Linked DNA regions of Stegostoma tigrinum. The protein of the gene in region 2 interacts with the protein of the main gene of each other region in a pairwise test. Links are inferred from orthologs where the notes say so. Each region holds a gene or a part of one and is shown on either strand. Other genes may lie near its edges.

What was found. The genes of interacting proteins can lie anywhere in the genome.
Region 1: the proteins of mfap1 (region 2) and katnbl1 interact in binary tests that used the Homo sapiens proteins (3 or more experiments, as listed by UniProt). The link is inferred for Stegostoma tigrinum from reciprocal best matches to the Homo sapiens genes MFAP1 and KATNBL1.

The regions. Positions count from the first base shown.
Region 1 is NC_081363.1:67,767,130-67,777,842, forward strand, and holds the start of katnbl1 (KATNB1-like protein 1), read right to left. Parts: upstream 4,169-10,713; 5' UTR 3,930-4,168; intron 1-3,929.
Region 2 is NC_081389.1:22,687,304-22,697,631, reverse strand, and holds the start of mfap1 (microfibrillar-associated protein 1), read right to left. Parts: upstream 4,215-10,328; 5' UTR 4,130-4,214; coding exon 4,048-4,129; intron 2,441-4,047; coding exon 2,224-2,440; intron 892-2,223; coding exon 762-891; intron 1-761. UniProt on the Homo sapiens protein: Involved in pre-mRNA splicing as a component of the spliceosome.

The sequences.
Region 1 (10,713 bases), on a different chromosome or scaffold from region 2:
AAGCTAATTTAGGCATGCCAAACAACGGAGCCTCTTTGTTTTTTCAAAAGATTACTCAAGTGATTTGATCAAGTATGCAGCCGCTTTAAAACCTTCATCCCCGCTGTGGCCATGCAGCAACTCAAAAGTTCGAATGCTCTCATGCAGATCGTGCACAAGTTGTTGTTCAACTTTAGACTGAACATTGGAATTAAATGTAGTTCCAGAATTTTGCAACATTGGAACCTTTCTGCTTTTTCATTATTTTTACTGCTATTACTTTACTAACTTTGATTGGAACTAATGACGAGTGGACTTTGGGAAACAGCCTGGTAAAAGGAAACGAACAGACTAAACAAACTTTTTTGCTTATTTGGGATGGCAGACTTGGAGGTTAACTGTAGGCTGATTCTTGATTCAATGGGTTTGAAGAGGCACAGCTGCCCTGCGAACAGCATTTTGTTTAAACAGATGGCAGACTTTGGCTAGTAAGGAGGTCAACACCTGGGAATTGGTCCCAGCAAGTCTGGAAGAGATCCTATATTCAAGGAAATGATGGATGTTGAGCAATCATTAAGGACCCGGGAAAAAAAAACTTCAAAAAGGAGACTACACAGCATCAACGATGTCACCTAGAAGGGGGTGACATGAAATGTCTGAATGAAAACCAGTCAGCTTGGGACACCAAACCAACAACTCCATCTGCTGACCTTGTACTTCCAGACAGAAGCTGTCGTGGATTTAGAAGGTGGCAAGGATCGTTGGCAACCTGCCGTACTGCTCAGGAGCAGCAGTACTATTTAAGAGATGCATTAGTTACGGAGGGAGTGGATGTGGTAACTATCAAGCTGGCCACTGTGTTCCATTTGGTATCAAATTTCTTGAATGTTGTTCGAGTTCTACTCATCCACGCATGTGGGAGTTCTCCATCACATCCTGACTTGTGCCGTGTAAATGGTAGACAGGCTTTGGGAGTCAGGAGATCAGTTACTTGCTGCAGTATGCCTCAATCCTGACCTACTCTTGTAGCCACTGTGTTTATGTGGGCAGTTCAGTTGAGTTTCTGGTCAGTGGTAGCCCCAAGCTTATTGACTGTGGGGGATTCAGTAAATGGTAAAATGATTGAACTTCAAGGGATGGTGGTTAGGTGGTTATTGCCTGGCATTTATATGGCATGAAAGTTACTTGCCACTTTTCAGCCCAAGCCTGGATATTGTCCTGATTAATGCATTTGAACTTGCACTGCTTCAGTACTGCAACTACATGCCCAACTATTAAGTAAGGTCATCGCTGATCTGATTATGGCCTAAACTCCACTTTCCAGCCTGCTCCTATAATCCTCAATTGCACTGTTGATCTAAAATCTGTTTAACCCACTTTGACTAGCCTCAGTGCAAGCCTCCACTGCTTTCTCCAGAAGAGTGTTCCACATCCAACAGAAAAAACATTTTCCCCGAACTTAAAAGGGCGTCCTCTTAGTTTTAAACTGTGGCCCCCTAATACTAGCTTCACCCGTATCAGGAAATATCCTCCCAGCATCCACTTCATTAATTGCCCTCAGTATCGTGTCAATAAGATCATCTCTGAATCATCTAGACTCCAATGGGTACAGCCCAATCTATTCAATCTTTCTTCTGCGAAATGAGTCAAGTGGACCTCTGAATTGCTTCTAACATAATTGTATATCTTCCGAATAAACAGACCTAACTGTATATATTTCATATACCTTGGTGTGAAGCTGGATGAACACAGCAGGCCAAGCAGCATCAGAGGAGCAGGAATCTCAGATTCTCCAGCATCGTCAGTTCCTACTATATATGAAATATATTCAGAGATGTGGTTTTACCAAGACCCTTTACAGATGTAGTAAAATTTGTCTTTTATCAAGTCCATTATAGGTCAACAGCATACTAAGTGTTATTTATAACTGTAAACGCTCCCCGATACTGACAATTAACTACTGTCAGTAATAAGGCACATTGCTTAAGGTCCTAAATATTTAAGAATTTAGGAATGTATAATTTAAACTTTTTTTTTGGTTTTCTCCCATTCCATCATTCTTTCCCTCTCCATTTTTCTTCCTGGGTCATAGTGTATCGCTTGTAATGACTTCTCCCGGATACTGGTCTGTTGTGAGACCAGAGTATTACCAGAAATGACAGTATTTTGATTTGCATTAAGAACTACTGTATCTAGTAAAACAATTGAACAGATGCGAAACACTCAAAACCAGGAAAGAGAAACCAAAAAAATAGCATACTGAAAAAGATCTTAAAGTGGAAATTTGTCACATAGTAGTATGTAGCCAAGCTCTGAATCCTGCTTTATTGTACACTTAGTACATTCCCCAGTTTTTAAATTACTCTTGAAGTTAACATAATGATTCAAACAAAACAGGGGTTAAGAAAGGATTCTTAAAAACATTAAGAGAATTTAAAATCAATAATATTGCAATCATCTTGGAACATCTGCAATTTTCAATTACAGTAATTACAATGTGGTATGAATTTATTTCTTTAACCATTAGGAAGATGTTACAAGAACTCAGGATTCAGACATCATTTTAAATAGTATTACATACAAGGTTAGGTTTTGTGTGTTCTTTTCACATTATTGCGAATGATGTCAGTGTAGCTCAAGATGTGCTCAAGTCAGTGGAAGACATTAAAAATCAGGAAACCCTCTCTTAAAACTCACTGTCTAGACCTGACAGCAGTTCAAGTATTAAAGTTCATTAATGCAATGTCACTTATTAGTGACAAGTAATAATTAATTTACATCTACACAAACACTTTGTTTATTGATATTACTTGGCCATAAATGAAGTGGTTTGGAGATGTTGCCTTCCTGATGTTTAGAAATCACAGGTACAGGAAGAATTTAAATAACTCTCTCCTATAAAATGTTAATGCAAAAAAGCTCAATGAGACTCTGAAGCAGACAAATGAAATATTGTTGTACAACTGTATAACATTTCAATGGGATTAATGACCATTCAATATTTTTGACAGTCTTGATCAGCATGAATATTTTTTGCTATAATTCCAACAATATCACCAATCTGAACCATGCTGTGATTTTCTACCAGGTACATTCACAAATGTCCCAAGTAAAATAAAAAGTTTTTAGAAATCCTAATCCTCTTTTATCAAGTGTTTTGAAAAAAAAAGAATGAAAAATCATAGAATCTGCTTCATAGTCTTATGGTACAGAACATTCTATTGATACAGTAGGTTTATTTAGCCACCATTATCGGCAGGTCTCACCATTCAGTGCTGTCCATTCACATCATTCAAAACTCAAGGCATCCCACAAAACAGGATTCCGAGGAAGTAACAACTTCACACTTAAAACGAGGCCAGGTTCAAAAACTGAACAGATTTGCTTGTTCAAATAGTAAGGTAGCTTTGCAAGTTAACATTCGCAGCAGCTATAAATAAATCACCAGTTGTCATACAGTAAAAATCTGCCTGCCAACCAATTCCACAAAATGCGGTTTTGACAACTTTACCCTTTTTAAACAGATTTCCCTTCATGCCACTCCTAGCCAGGCAAACAAAATGGATCCAAACGAAGCTAGATTTTCCAATAAGATCCGTCGCGTCTTTCAGGATAAAAACGAGATGAAGAGTCCCATCCCCAATTTTTGAAACCAAACAAGCGTTTTCAGAATTTATAAAATTAACCATAAAGTCACATAAAAGGTCGTGGTTTGAGTTTTAATTGTTAACGACGAGTTGTCTTGCATTGATTACGAGTACGCGGGCAGTTAGTTGGAACTGGTTTAAGAGCTTCTTAGCAAATAATTTTGAATTGCAGAGAAACACAGCCCTCTTTTTAAAATTAATGTCAATCCACCCCACCCCAAAGTCCCAACCAGCAGAAACTGTCCAAGTGTGAGGCCCCGAGCCGAGTCTCCTGCCACCACGGACAGCAAGGGGGCCACTTACCAGGACATTTTACAACATTTCAGTGGGAGTGCAAGCGATTAGAATTTGCCCCTCCTCTCCCCTTTCAGGCGCTAACAGGCCGCACCGGTCTTCTCTCCCTTTCCCTGAACCTTCGCCATTCAAAACAGGCCCTCAGCATGCCGGGACGGCTGAAACCTCCCAACCGGAGGACTGGGCCCACGGCATGCCGGGACGGCTGTGTGATCCCAGCCGGAGGACCGTGCCAACTCGGGCCCACGGCATGCCGGGATGGCAGAGTCCTCCCAGCCGGAGCGTTAAGAATGCACGAGGCCAATGCAACGCCTACCCCAACTCCTGATAGGAGCGTTCCTGCTGTTTAAATGATAACAGTCAGCAAAACAAGTGGTGTAATTGTGGGACAAGCTCTTGGAAAACGTGTGAGCGGAATTTACTGAGGAGTAGCTGTCTCGCCCAGGAAAAGGAATTCCATGCCCACATTTCACAACAGTAAGATGTAATTTGGCATTGAAAAGCCCACAATCACAGTCACTTTGAGAGCTGATGTCAAAGATCAAGTACTTCCCGTGTGAAGTTAAGGTGTCAAGTGGGTATGGTGTAGGACGCTGTTGGTGCGTGATGCAGTAGAGAGGTGGGTGAAGTAGGCTGCGAAGTGATGTGGAATGTCAAATAGGAAGGGGTGGGGGGTAGGATGGCAAGTAAGTAGGGTGCCAGATGTTTAGTATGCCAAGTAAGTAGGGGGTAAGGAGCAAGGTGGCAAAGGGGCCAAGCAAGTGATGTAGTTGTTACACAAGGTCAGTGGGAAGTCAATAATAGGTCTGTTCTGAGGGCTGTTTGTTGGGTCCCCAGGCAGGGGAGTCTGATCCACTGGTGAGGAACTGGGTATTCAGGAATGCAGGGGAAGGTGGATAAAGGCAAATCAGGTCTGTGTTGGAGTGAAAGAGAACTGGGCCTTGAGAACGCCGGGGCAGATTGTTCTGATTGCCAGTGAATATAGGGTTAACTGATGCCGTCCTCCTTCAATGTCAAACGCATTATCCCAAGAATCTGCCTGGTGAACTTTTATTGCAGTAGCATCCCATAGCCAGAGCATCCTTTTTCAGATAAGGAGACCACAACTGCTCACAATACTCCAGGAGTAATCTCACCAAGACCCTACACAATTGAAGCAACTCATGTCTGTTCCTGCTCCTGTAACTTGAATTATTTTGCTGTGAATCCAACATACCATTTGCCTTTTTCATTTCCTGCTGCACCTGCATGTGTACTTTCAGCAACTGATGTATTTACCCAGGTATCATTGCACAGCTTCCCCCCCCCACCCACCCCAGCCTGTTTCCAAATCTATCACCATTCAGATAATAATATTTTCTGTTTTTGCTACCTCACATGTGATAACCCCTCATTTACCAACATTACATCTGCATTGTATTTGTAGATTCTTGCAAATACATGTGCTGTTGCACTACTGTTTTCAGTTTCCTTCAAATACTTCAGCCAGATTACCCTATCATCCACAAATGGTCTCTAGGCTGTGTTCAGTCTCAGGGAGATTTCACTGCGGGTCAGACGATGCTTGTCCTCTGGATTCTCCCTCAAGTTCCTCTCACTGGCTGTCCAGGAATTGATTATGGGCCTTGGTTGCTCTCTGCGGCTCCCAATCCTTAGCTCTTTCCATTTCAGCTGATTCACTCCTGCAGCATCAGGCCCCCAGAGAATCAGCAGTTCACTCACCTTCTCAAATGCAATATCAACATCTGGCTGTTCCTCTAACCAGGACTGCTAACTTTCCCATTCCTGGAGTGTCCTCTAACCATCCCACACGTACAGGCCTGTTTTTCCCTTTCCCAATATTTCTATCGTTAATATACCAATGTTAAGAGAGGAAAGATCAGTTCTTAAAGCCACAGTAATGTTTTCCACTGCCTGGCAGTGTTCAGGAAGTTAAGCTTTAATTCTTGGAGACTTCAACCCAGGGGATATGGCAACCCTACCTCCCACTGTGGCCGAGCTCCACAATACAGCCGCCGTGCTACTATCCACACTACCCCATCCCCTACTCCCAACAAATATCAGGATGATAAAAGTACCCTTTATCATTCACTGAGCCGTGTCCTAGTTCTGGTAGCTGTCAAGCTCCTCTGAACCTACCCAAACTGACCCCAAACGTGAGACATACAGCATCTTGCACTTCACTGCCACATACCTGGGTTGTCTGTCTTGGACCTGGCTGATAGTGATGCCAGTGACCACAGGGCCTGGTGCAGAGGCTAAACTCCACAGCTACACATTTCTGGTGCAGTACCCTGCAGAAGTCTAGGAGACAGCCTAACCCCCAAACCAAACAGCAACAGTTCAAGAAGGCAACTCACCACCACCTTTTCAAAGGCCACCAGGGATTAGAACTAAGTGTTGACGAAAGAACAATTTCCACATCCCATGAATGAATTTTAAAAAAATACTACATTAAGGATAGAATCTGGAGCTAATTTTCTGTTTCCTTTTCACTCCAATGTGAGAGAGGCAGTCCATTTCAGAAATGCACAGGAATTGCCTGTACCTGAATGAACTTTACCAGAGACAACCAATGCATGCAACCCAGGAGAGAGAGGTCTGAGCATCCCTATGCCTTTAAATGTTGACAGTAACTTAAAAGCATGTGATCGAGAAGATATTGAAATCTTGCTACAGTAAGCTACAACAGCATAAGGAACTGGAACATGATTCAGCCATTTGGCTGATCAAATCTGCTCTACCAATCAATAAAATCATGTCTACTCTGACTGTGGCCTTACCTGTACTTTCTTGAAATTTGGCCATAACCTCTGACTCTCACATGGATCAAAACCAGGTAGTGATCTGGGGACCCGGGCTCAAATTCCATCACAGCAGATGGTGGAATTCAAGTTCAATATCTCATTTAAAGAGTCTAATGAGGATCCTGAATCCATTATCGATTGTGGGAAAAACCCATCTGGTTCACTAATGCCCTTTAGGGAAGGAAACTGCCATCCTTATCTTGTCTGGCCTACGTGTGACTCCAGACGTGCAGCGATGTAGTTGACTCTTAACTGCTGTGTGAGCAATTAGGAATGAACAATGAATGCTGGTCTGTCCAGCAATGCCCTCATGAATGAATTGAAAATAAACCTCTAACTCAGCCGTGCACATAATCATTGACCCAGCCTCCACTGCTCTCTGGTAAAGACAATTTCAAAGATTAGAAATTCTCCAGGATCAAAAAAACACTTTTGTTTCTACCCACTGTAAGTGATCCCTTAAAGGTACACCCTTCATCTGTCTTTCTCCGTCAGTACCAATCCTATCATGTGAGGCCGGAAGTGGCTTGAAGACATCCAAGACACTGGGGTGAAGAGCATGACAGAAAGGTCAATGTTCACGTGGGTCTGAAAATTTCTCAAATGCAAATCATTCAAATCATCCCACTGCTGAAAAGTCAGGTCACGTTATTCCCGACCCCCAGAGCAAGTGCAACAGATTGACGTCCAGCATCTGAGGTGAGCTTTCCAGAAAGTTCTCAGTCGTTCCACATCTCACAGGCTTTAGCCATGGACTGATTCCCTTCATTAGTTTACACAGTGAAGAATAGAAGCTGTACGGACATAGGGCCCAGGAATGGAAGAGGACCATTTGGCTCCTCAAACTTTTTTGCCATTCAATAAATTACAACTGCTTTGTTTTTGGTGTCAGCTCCACTTTGCTGTCTGTCCTGTATAATCTTGACTCTCCTGCTGATCAAAATTCTATTAAACTCAACTTTGAATACATTTGAGAACTCAGTTTTTGGGGTGACACATTCCATACTCCAACAAGCCTCTAAGAGAAAAGATATCTTCTCATCTCTGTTTTAAGCTTCTCTCTTAAACTGTTCTCCCTTATTTTTGTCTCCTTGACAAAACTCCCTCCCAGTATCTACCTTATCCGGTCATCTCATGGTTTTATGACTTGCATTCTCATTCTTCTAAACTCCCATGGTTATGAAACTAACATGTTTATTCTTCAGAAAATAATTCCTATGTTGCACGACTGAAAGCACAACATTTGCTTACTGGAATAAAATGTGAAAATGCTGGAGAAACTCAGAAGTTCTGTTTTGAGGAAGTCATATTGGACTTGATGAATTAACTCAGTTGTGCTGGACAGGCTGAGATTCTCCAACATTTTCTCAGGTATGGCCTGACTGGCAGATCTCTGATGAAGGGTCTAGGCCCGAAACGTCAGCTTTTGTGCTCCTGAGATGCTGCTGGGCCTGCTGTGTTCATCCAGCGTCACATTTCATTATCTATGGCAGATCAATAGGATGACTTATTGTGATGTTCTGAAGGAAGGGCAAGATAGAAGGAGGCCTGATTGAACATACGGCAAATAGATGCTGCTGCTGCTGAAGATGTTTAGGCTGCTGTCTGCTATGGTTTCTCAAAGTCATACTTTAACTATTCTTACAGCTCATTCATATGAAGGTCATATCATTCAGTCACCAAGGTATTAAGACAATACAACAAATCATGATAATCTGAAAATTTGCTCGGGTTCCACTTATTTGACTGCACCTCCATCAATGGCTTTTCTTCCCACCCAGCAATGTTGTCTCTGGTTTCCTTCCAAAGTTATATGCCCTCCATCCTCATCTATATGGGATGTCTTGGAGATATGATCCAGTGACTAAGGGCCAACTTTAACAAGTTCAGCAAACTTTATTTAACTGGCACATGTAGGATGAGGACTGTGGCCATTGATCAAATATTCTGGATAATCAAGAGGGACACATCACTGCAGTAAATCTTGACCAAGCGAAGTTTCAGGACATCAATGTACCTCAAAGAATCTATGTAAAAACATCAACACCCCTGCTCAATTCAATGTAAAAACACATAGTAAGTATTCGAAACATAATTTTTTTTTCCCGGCCTAAATTCTCAGACTTTGCAATAGATCGCGGTATTTGAGGTATATATTTCTTGCCAGTTTATCAAGAGTGCTGGTTGAAAGAAAGATTACTGTAAATCAGTGATAGCTCTTTACTACCGTTGTGCTGTCAGATCACTTGCCCAACACTCAGTACTGGATGAGTCACAATTTCTTTTGGTGCTTATTGTTAGTAACTGATAAGTTCTGTTGATGGTAATAATTTTGAATCAACCTGTCCAGACATGTTTTGACACCACCTCCTGAGCAGGTGGGAACTTGAACCACAATCTCCTAGCCCAAAGGCAAGAACATTACCACTGCACCACAAGAACCCAGTTCTGTTGATGAGTGTTAAGTACTAGTAGTTGAAGGCAATAAGACAAATAGGTATTGGACTTGATGCATTAACTCGGTTTTTTGTCTTCACAGATGTAGTACTATCCTACCTCTGTTCCAAAACACATCTGCTTCAGAAGTGTGTACTAGCATTGATGAACAGTTTGATTTGGGAAATATCTGCTTACATGTGCAGGAAGGCTGTTGTGTTACAATGGGGTGGTTGTCTGTCAAGCCCAGGAGAGACACCCTTCAGTTTGCGGGTGGTAGGTTGGAGCACCGTAAATCGAGGGTGGCTGCAAATATTAGTCCAGCGGCTTGGCTCGGTCAGGTGGGCAGTCGGAGTACTTCTGCAGACTGGGATTGGGCCATAGTCAACCCTCTGGGTTCAGTGCGACCTGTCCTAGGAGTCAAGGGAGCACAGTTATGGAGCTGTATAGATATCAGTCACAGGTCTGGTCACTCATTGTTCAGGGTTGCCCAGCTAAAGCATTCAATAAAGGTGGGTTATGATCAGTTCTGGGTGTTCATCCACTAAAAGTCAAAGGGTTTATCAGAGGCCCCTGCTATGGGAATAAGGCTCAGGATATTAGATTTAAGTCAGAATGTTGGGATATAAAGACAGGTACTGAAGGGAGTAACAACTCAATATATAAGGCAGGGAGGTGATAGAGGGAAAGGGAGCATGTCAGGGTGGGGACGTCATTGAGTAAGCAGCATCCAGGTGTCTGCAGGAACAATGTTTGTTCTGCATATTTGTTATGCCTGAGACTGGGTGGCAAGCTTTCTTGTATTTTACTTTGCTGTTACATAGATCTCTGAGGTCTATATGTGGCAGCAGCTTTCTGAAACAGAATCCATTCATTGGTACGTGCCAAGCTACTAGCCGGGAGTGTTGCTGAGAGGGCAAAATGAGCAGATGAAAACTCAGACAGACAGATTGAATGGGGACTCTGGCAAGTGCAAAGTCTTTGGGGTTGACAGAGAGGGCTATCGGGAAAGAGATGTATAAATTTGGGGATTCGCCAAGACAGAGTGGGGTGGCACGGTGGCTCAGTGGTTAGCACTGCTGCCTCACAACACCAGGGACCCAGGGTTCAATTCCATCCTCGGGCGACCGTCTGTGTGGAGTTTGCACATTCTCCCCATGTCTGCATGGGTTTCCGCTAGGTGCTCCTGTTTCCTCCCGCAGTCCAAAGATGTGCAGGTTAGGTGGATTGGCCATGCTAAATTGCCTGTAGTGTCCAGAGGTGTGTAAGTTAGGTGGATTAGACATGGGAAATACAGGGTTGTAGGAGCACGGGTGTGGGTGGGTGCTGTTTGGAGGGGTGGTGCGGACTTGTTGGGCCAAATAGCCTGTTTCCACACAAAAGGGATTCTATAAAAGAGTGCCTGAATCTGACACTCACTGGCCAAGGTTTGACGCTGCTTCCTTCCATCATGCTGTAAACAACAAGTTTGAAATGGAACTGAAAATGGCTGTAAGGGTGGGGGTGGTGGAAATGCTTCATTCTGTGGGCGCAACATCATTACACAGATA
Region 2 (10,328 bases):
GAACAGCTGGAGTCCCAGTTATTGCTCATGGGAGGCTGAAGCAACACCCTCTGTCTGTCTTGGCTGCAGTAAGCCATCTCAGTAAAGGCAGCTGGACCTTACAGGGTTTTACTCCCAACATCTACACCCTGGGTGACTAAACAACTGGGAAAACAGTTACAGGGCCAGATAACCAAAATCTGAACAGTATCCAACGTTACTGGCTGAATTCGGATTCTTACAGGTCACGTGGGAAGAGGAGTGGACCAGGGGATGGAGCAGAACGATTATACTATTGGTTTTGTAATCCAGTGGGCATGGCTAGTGATCTTGATACATATTCAATCTCACCATGGCAGTTTGGGGTAAACTCACTTAGCCCCCCCAGGTTCAGCTCAACAGGTCAATATCAATTTTTCAGCTCCACCTTACTTCATCTCAACACATCAGCAAATCCTGCTATTCCTTTTCTCACTGGTGTCTATTTAGCTTCCCCTTAATTGGGTCAACGTTATTTACTTCCACCACTCTGTGTTGCCTTTCCTCAACTGTCATTATCCAGTAACAAGAAAGAAATACATCCTAAAGTCCAGACTAGTCAATATCTGGCCTGTGCTTCTGGCAATGTGTCTGGGGTCTGCACAAGGCTTGTAACTGACCCTCCACCTAGTCTGTATACAGGCACTTCACTTCCAGCTCTGACACCTCAGTCTGCCCTCTTTTCAAGATATCATTGGTTTCCTGTTGGTTGTTACCGAGACACTAGTGAGATCCATATTCACCTCATCATCCACTTCCTCCTCTTCCTCTTCACTGGTGTCCTCGCGATCTACATGCCAAGGTTCACCCTCATCCTCAGATTCTGCCTCCATCACTACCTCAGGTTCAACAATCATCCGATGCCTGGCCAGTCTGGAGAAAGGGGAAGAAAAAAAGTCATCTTCCTGCAGAATAACAGTGCTCAAACATTTCTATAACCTTGTCACACGCTCAACACGTTCCAAGTTGAATTCCATACAATGTAATCACTTGTTTAGGTTGCAGCAACAAAATAAATCAGCAGTTAGTCTGTTTTCTCAGTTATTTCGTTTGAGGCATGAATTCTGTCCAGGACACCAGGAAAGAATACTGCAGGATCTTTGACATTCCTTGAGATGGCAAATGGGATTTGGTTAAACATTGCATTTGAAAGAGGACTGCAGCATCTGAAGTGCCATTTATCAATAGCATTGAGGAAGCCTGAGGTTTCCCAGAGAGTGGTCCAAAGCAAAGGAGACTGAGCCCTTGTAGGGACAGCACATAAGAAAGACTGTTGAACTTTAACCTCTGTTCCCTTTTTTTGACTTAATACCAGGAAGGACTGCAATGTTAACTTTTCACTTTGTTTCTCTTTGTTCTTAGTATAAGCAGAAAAATAAAGTTAAAACTAAAGTATTATCGATGTTACTACTTGTACCTAAGTACCTATGATTGTGACATGTGTGGTGGCATTACACAATTTTCACTGTACTTCTGTACTTGAGTACACGTGACAATAAAGCTTAAAACAAAAATCAAATCAATCATGCTAAAATGTCAGATAACAAAATGTGAGGCTGGAATAACACAGCAGGCCAAGCAGCATCTCAGGAGCACAAAAGCTGACGTTTCGGATGAAGGGTCTAGGCCCTAGGGTCTAGATGCTGCTTGGCCTGCTGTGTTCATCCAGCTTCAAACTTTGTTATCTTGGATTCTCCAGCATCTGCAGTTCCCATTATCTCTGATGCTAAAATGTGAGCTTGGCCTATGTGCTCAATTCCTAATTAGTAACAACAATTCTGTTTTTTTTAAGTCCTCTCACTAACTGAAGGGCACTGAAACTACTGATCAGTTCCCATTACCATCAATTGAGGACAAACATTTTATCCAGACCCTTCAGGATCTATGTAGCTCAGTATCAGGCAATGCGTTTAAGGGAGGAACCAGGTCATTTTCAGAAACAAATAAAAATAACATAAAACAAAGAATGGTGGACCTTTGAGATCTGAAACACAAAAATAGGAATAGCTGGAGAAACTCAGCTGGTCTGACAGCATGTGGTGAGAAAAGGGTCAATATTATGACTTCTGAAGGAGGGACACAAGTCAAAATGTTGATTCTGCTTTCCCAAAGCTGCATTTCTCCAGCAATTTCAATTTTTGTATGTCATACATAAAAATGATCTTGGGTTTGCCTGGCAGGACCAGAAGCTTCAGATTCTCTCACCTTTCCTCTACATCCTCAGAGAGTCGGTTTTGGAGACGTTTCAGACGAGGGTCGTTTGCCAGCTCCTCTGGCACCTCAGGCTCTGCCTCTGCATCCTTTGGCTTCTTCACAAACTGGAAGTCTTCCTCCTCTTCATCCGAGGACTCCATTGGCGCATAATCAGGTCGCTTACCAGAGACATAGCGCTTGACTTTCACTTTTTCCATCGACACCTCACCTGGCACAAAAGGGAGGTGCATTCAGCAAAGGCCATTACTACAGTAACCACAGGGTCATCAGCATTGTGATCCAAAGAAGCCCAGTTGCTAGCGCTCCTATTACAGTTTGGCCAAGACGGGACAAAGATTAATAGCACTATGGACAAGATGTCACAGAGAAGAGTTTAACAGAGAACGTGGTTGGCATGGATTGGCTGGACCGAAGGCTCTGTTTCCATGCTGTATGACTGTCAAGAGAAGGAGAGCACCTTAGAGGTAGCAGTGGACCAAGAATGAAGTGGTGCAAGCAGTTTGGCTGAGAGGGGTAAAACAGTGAGGTACTCAAGGAAGAAAAATTGCTTGAGGGATATTAAGGCGCAATTTGGTAATAAGGTGAACCAGGGGCTGCAGCAAGTAGCTGATGCAATTCCATAATTAAACTGTGAAATTCCACAAAGAAATTGGGGCATAGCATTTATTCAACTATGGTTGAGAACAAGTGCAGCGATAGGGGTCGCACTGTGTGGATCAGAGATGGCTGAGTGTGTTTTAGATTGTGTCTTGTAAACACTCAGTTACATGTTCATCAATGTAGCTCTGAGAGAAGGAATGCAGCAAGTTCATCCAGGTTCAGCAGTTCATTTTAGGGTCAGGACCAAAGGAACACAAGAGGTAGTAATGAGGGACAGGTGTTGAGGGGAAGGAGGGGCTGGACACTGAGGCTAGAGGGAACATCAATTTGAATAGCACACCAAAAATGTTTCAGCAGAATGCAGCTTTCACTGGATCATTGTATCCCTGTGTATTCCAGTCACCCCCAGCACTGAAAGCCCGAGGGAGTGGGTGCTCCTGTACCAAGAGCCCATGGGAGGGGTTTGTAGCTCCCTGTACCGACAGCTGGTGGGGGGGGGGGGGGGGGGGGGGAGGGGGTGTGAGGGTGTTACTTATTCCAAGAGCCCAGGGGATGGAGGAGGGGAGGTCTCTGTACCGACAGCCGGGGGATTCTGTACTGACAGCTGGGGGGGGGGGGGTGCGGCGGGATTCTGTACCGACGGGTGGGGGGTGTGGGGGGGTGTGGGGGGGTGTGGGGTGGTGGGGGGTGTGGGGGGGTGTGGGGGGGTGTGGGGGGGTGTGGGGGGGTGTGGGTGTGGGGGGGTGTGGGGGGGTGTGGGGGTGGGGGGGTGGGGTGTGGGGTGGGTGTTGGTGGGTGTGGGGTGTTGGGGGGGGTGGGGTGTTGGGGGGGGTGGGGTGTTGGGGGGGTGGGGTGTTGGGGGGGGTGGGGTGTTGGGGGGGGTGGGGTGTTGGGGGGGGTGGGGTGTTGGGGGGGGTGGGGTGTTGGGGGGGGTGGGGTGGTGGTGGGTGGTGGTGGGGTGTGGTGGGGTGGGGGTGGGGCGGGATTCTGTACCGACAGCTCGGGGGGGGGGGGGGGGGGTTGAGATTCTGTACCGACAGCTCGGGGAGGGGGGGGGGGGAGATTCTGTCCCGACAGCCGGGGGTAGGGGGGGGGTTCAGGGTGTTACTTATTCCAAGAGCCCAGGGGATGGAGGAGGGGGAGGTCTCTGTACCGAGAGCCGCGGGGGGGTGCGGATACTGTATCGATGGGCTGGGGGGACTCGGTTCCACTCACCTTTCTCATTGAGGACGGGCACGGCTCCGGCCGTGGACTGAATCGGCGGCTGCTTGGCGTTCAGGCTGAGCGGGGCGGCCATGGTTCGCGCTGCAGCTTTCAGAGGCCGAACTCAAACAAAACAACCTACACAACAACCACAAGATGGCGGGCAGGAGTCGCGGAGTGATGACCTCATCAGGGAACTCGCCTTATTTATGCCTTTGGCGTTTGACGTCACTGCACCGGTCACGCGTGTGGGCGGGGCTTTGTAGGTGGGCGTGGTTTGGATATGGGCGGGGCTTGTATAGGGCATTGGTTGGGCCACCTCTGGAGTACTGTGTCCAATTGTGGTCTCCCTGTCTGAGGGAAGATATTATTAATCTTGAAAGGGTGCTGAAAAGATTTACAAGGATGTTGCCAGGTTTGTGGGTTCAGTTACAAGGATGCGTTTTACAGGCTGGGGCTATTTTCCCTGGAGCATCAGAGGCTGAGGCTTATAGTGGTTTATAAAATCATGAGGGGCATGGGTAGGGTGAGTAGCAATGCGCTTTTTTTCTAGGGTGGGGCAGTCCAAAACTACAGCGTATCGGTTCTTAAATGAGAGAGGAAAGGGTTGAAAAGGACTTGAGGATACATTTTTCACGCAGAGGGAATGTATGGAATAAGCTGCCAGAGGAAGTGGTGAAGCTGGGTACAATTACAACATCAAAAAGGCAACTGGATGAGTCCATGAATGGGAAGGGTTGAAAGGGATATAGGCCAAATGCTGGCTAATGGGACTAGATTTACTTAGGATACCTGGTTGGCATTGACTTATTGGACCAAAGGTTCTGTTTTTGTGCACAACGACCTTACGGCTGTATCTACCGCACTGTCCAATAGTCATTTGAGGGTGTAAATGAGAAGGCTGTCTGCTGGTAAGTTTTATTTAAGGCAAAATTACATTATTATTTAAGTAATTTATGCCAAAAATGTGTATACCCCCACATTACATTTACATTGATGATGTGAACCTCTTAATTATCTATAATATTTGACCAATCAGCACATTCCTGGTCCCGTTTGGTGTCAGACGATAAAAAGTTTCCTGCATATAGAAAATGAACTGTGGCAGCCAGAAGGAAACCAGCCTGCTCATTCTGCTTACACTGGCTGAAAAATGAACCATTTTGCCGCACCTATTTTCTACTTTACCACATCTTCAGATGATGCAGAAGCTCAGAAGCTATCCAGATACCTGTTAATGTCAAGCTGAACCTTCCACCAAAGAAAAAGGCTATTCAGCCCACTCTGACTGTGCTAATAGATGCTCACTTATTCCCCTGTAAACTTTTCCTCTTCAACTAATTGTCCTTTAAACCTTTCGGTGGAATCTGACTCCACCAGGTCTTCCAGATATAAAAATCCGCCAAATATAAAATATTTCTGCTCATCTCCATTTTAGCTCATTAGCATCTGAGTACAAAGTTTACCTGATGGGATTTTATACCAAAGACCGGCTGACCTTCCCAGTACTCAGGAAGTAAGAAAAATAAGAAGCATATGTCAGGTATAGATGAAGTGAATCCCTTGAGGGGATTAAGGGGACCCATCACTTCATCTTTGCACCCTCCTTACCTCACACCTTCCCTTGACCTGGGCTGCGAGAATGGCTATTTATACAGCTGCAGTAGCTGCTCTGCATCCAAAATAGCCGCCCCACTGTTGCTATTGCCTTCCCTTCGGTCACAATAATCACTTACCCCACATCTACAACAACTATCATGTGGCCATTACTGCCTACCCTGAGCCTGAACGTGGCCTTCTTAATGGTCACCGTGGCCTTGCATACAGCCAAATAATGACCTCCTCCGCAAAGGCCACACTGTAGCAGCTACTGCTACTTCGGCAGTTACATAGTACACACAGTGACCGCTACTGCTTTCCCCACGGCAGCAATGGTGTCTCCCGTGGAAACTACTATTTTCATGACAGCCACAGCCTAATGGCTGCTCCACAACTGGAATGTGGGGAGGCATCATTAAATCCAAACCAGCGAGACGCCTGTGATTCTGAGCCCTGCTGTGACTGCACATTCACCTTCAATTTTTCTGGGTTCACTGGTCGCATGCCCCACCAGATACAAAATCGAAGGGCAGAAGTTGGCAGCCGTCATGACTCTTCACGTCATTTACCCTTGAGGTCTCACTGACAAAATACAGCATTCCCCCAGACACCTGGGAATCACTGGCCAAAATGGAGGAGGGGCACCCAGGAAGGTGCCCAGTATCTCGAGACTTGCCGTTGGGAAAAAGTGGAAACCAGGTGCAAACAGCAAAAGGAGAGCGCTGTCGCACCAACCCTTTGAGTGAGCACTAACTGACCCAAGTGTAATAGAGCCTGTGGTAGCTGCAGTGGTCTGTACAGCCACCTACATACAAACCCTGAGACTGAAAGAGAGTCATCCTTCTCTGCAAGGGACCACAAATGATGATGATGATAATGATAATGATGAACCAAAGGCGGTTGAACAGTGAGCTGTCAGGCTTCCTGCTGGCTGAAGCAAATCAGGAGAGCAAAAGGAGGATATGGGATAGCTTTGGCAGATAAGGAATCCAAAGAGATGCTACAAATTCATTAAGTGCGCAAGAGCAACTAGGAAGAGAATAGGAAACTTTAAGACCAACAAGGCCATATTTATGCGGATCCACAGGAGATGAGAGAGGTACAAAGTGAATATTTCACAACTGTAGTTACTGGAGAAAAATAGATACAATTGACAAAACTTAAGGAAATAAATAATGACGTCTTGAAAATAGTTCACTTTACAGAAAAAGAGGTGCTGAAGGTCTGAAAATGCAAAAAGGTAGATACATTTGTGAGACATTGTCCTTAGGATAGGGAGTTTCAAGACTAGGGAGCATATTTTTAATGTGAGGGAGGAGAGAATTAATAAAAGACATGAGGGATAATTTTTTTTACACAGAGAGTGGTTTGCATGTGGAATGAACTTCCTGAGGAAGTGGCAGATGCGGGCACAGTTACAACATTTAAAAATAACGTAGGAAAGTACATGAATATGAAAGGTTTAGGGGCATATTGACTATGTGCGGGTGGGTGGGACTAGTTTAGTTTGGGTTTACATTCAGCATGGGCTGGTTGGACTGAAGGGTCTGTTTCTGTGTTGTATGACTATGACCTAATCAAGTGTACCTAGAACATTGTGGGAAGCTGGGGAAGAAATTGCAGGTTCCCTAGCAGAGATACTTACATCATCTATAGCTATGGGTGAGGTGCCGGAGGACTGGAGGGTGTCTAAGTTTGTGTCTTTATTTAAGAAAGGCTGCAAAGAAAAGCTAGAGAACTACAGACCAGTGAGCTTGAAGTCACTGGTGGTTAAGTTGCTGGAGGGGATTCTCAGAAAGAGAATTTACCTGAATTTGGAGAGGCAAAGACTCCTTAGGAATAGTCAGCATGGTTTTGTGCATGGAAAATCATCTCACAAACTTGATTGGGTTTGTTGAGGACACGACCAAGAAGATCGTTGTGGCCAGAGAGTAGAAATTGCTTATATGGGCTTTAGTAAAGCCTTTGACTAGGTTCTGCGTGGTAGACTGCTTAGTAACATTCAATCACATGGGATCCAGGGACAGCTTGCCAATTGGACGCAAAATTGGTGGTGGTGGAGTGTTGTTTTCTGGACTGGAGACCTGTGACCAGTGAGTCTTTCTACAGGGTTTGGTGCTGGGACCATTGTTGTTTGTCATTTACATAAATAATTTGGATGAGAATATAGCAAGCATGGTTAGTAGGTTTGCGGATGACACCAAAATTGGTGGTATAGTAGACAGTGAAAATGGTTATTTAAAGAATACAATGGGATCTTGATCAGCCGGGCCAATGGGCTAAGGAGTGACAGATGGAGTTTAATTTGGATAAACGCAAAGCGTTGCATTTTGGTAAGGCAAAGTAAGAACTTACAGAGTTGGTGATGGTATTGGTAGACAGGTGGTGAGTATAGGAGTTGGAAAGTCATGTTGTGGCTGTACAGGATGTTGGTGAAGACAGTTTTGGAATACTGCGTACAGTTCTGGTTGCCCAGCTATAGGAAGAACACTATTAAATTGGAGAGGGTACTGAGAAGATTTATAAGGATGTGACCAGGTCCGGAGAGTTTGGGTAATAGGGAGGGGCTGGATATGCTGGAATCTTTTTCCATGGAGAGTAGCAGGTTGAGGGGTGACCTTACAGAGGTTTATGAAATCATGACAGGCATAGATAAGTGAATAGCAAAGGTCTTTTTCCTAGGGTAGGGGAGTTCAAAACTGGAGTGCATAAGTTTAAGATGCAAAGGGAAAGATTTAAAGGGGACTCAAGGGGTGACTTTTCACACGGAGGCTGGTGTGTAAATGGAATGAGCTGCCAGAGGAAGCGATGGATGCAGGTGCAGTTACAGCATTTAAAAGACATTTGGACAGGTACTTGAATAGGAAAGGTTTGGAGGGATATGGATCAAACAGGCAAATGTGATTAGTTTAGTTGGGGGAACCTGGTTGGCATGAACGAAGGGTCTGTTTCTGTGCTGTATGACTCTATGCTGCCGGAGGTACCAACATTCAGAAGAGTTTTTAAATTGTGGCCCATTCTGCCTCTGAAAGAAGGCAGAGCATCTTGGCAATTCATAGAGCAGCAGGAGTTCTCTTCCTGGTGTCCTTGCCAATACTGATCCCAATAGAAGAAAGTTTGTTTGATCATGACCATTGCAATTTGCAAGAATTGGTTGCTGTGGTTTAGATATTTGAACAGTGACAACACTTCAAAGTATTTTGGATGGGCTGAAGTCTTGACTAAACCAAAGAGACTAGGACTTGGGTTTTATGGCTATGGTGATAACCTGACACTATGATTTTTGCATTAATCTAATCTGCGAAACAAGAAAGTAACTGATTAGGAAGCTCCAGGGGAGACATGCAGGAAATAATGAATTACTCTCAGTAGATGGTGCTAGTAGATTACTGTGTCAAATTCTCACAAACTTCTTGTCAAATTATACACTCTTTGTTGGTAGAACTCTGCATCGAGTTAATATTGTCGAATTAATGTCGAACTGTCAGAACTTAGTCACTAAGTGCAGTAGTTAAGAAGAGCTAGTGCATCTTACATAACATAAACATAACAACAGTTTGCATTCATATAATACCTTTAATGTCATAAAACACTTCCTAAGCACAATACAGAAATTGTCAAATAAAAATTAACATTAAGCTAAATCTCAAAAGAGATTTCTGACAGATGACAAAAGTCTCAGCTAAATAACAGAAAGGAGGAGAAAGGAGCTGGAGAGATTCAGGGAGGGAGTTTTCCAAAGCATCAGGTCCAAGCGCCAAAGGCATGGCTGCCAATAATGGACCAGTTAAAATCAGGAGTGTACAGGAGAGCGAAAACAGCGAAATGTTAATATCTCAGGAGGTTGCAGACCTGAAATAAATTACAAAATTAATGAAAGGTGAGGACATGGAGAGATTAGGAAGCAAAAATGAAAATGCTCCCGGGCAGGAGCTGGGCAATAGGACTTGGTGTGAGTTAGGACAAGGCAACAGTATTTCAGGTAAGATCAAAAAGAAGTTTTTGGTAGCATGTTGTGAAGATAAATGGAAGTGGTTAACAATGGATGAAGAAGGCAGAAATCGTGACAATGATAAAGAACTGGCAACTTAAATCAATATAAATATGTAGAAGGGGATTCAAATCTTTGGGATTCTGTAACCCAGACACAGAGGAGGTTTGGACATTGAGTTTATTCATTGACAGGATCAACTGTCTTTTAGTCATGTATGGAACTGAGGGCAAGCAAAGGGCTCTGGCAGAAAAGTGAGAGTGAAAACATAGATTAACCATGGCCTTAATAAATGGTGGAGCTGCCTTTAAGGGTGGTACCCTGCTCTTGCTTCTATTTCTAAAGTCCATAAATAGTTTTTTGCTTCCCAACTTCTTATCTGTGTGGCTCGGCAGCCTTGACTTTAGGACAGAGCAAGCCGATATCTGACTGGCATGTCGGCACCAAATGTAGAGATATGTTATCACCTTCTGGAAAATACACAGTTTGTGGTCAAACTGAGTTCTTGGAAAAGCTAAAACATATGTGTCAGCCAAATTTTTATGCCATTTTGGTTTCTTCTGCTGCAAGAATTTCCTCTGTTGGTTTTTCTGATTATTATAAATGGACTTCCCCTGTTCTTTCTCTCTGAGAAAGGGTTGCAGAAATTCCGCTGATAATAATCTCACCGGGGTACAGGATGCCATTCACAGACTGACTCTCA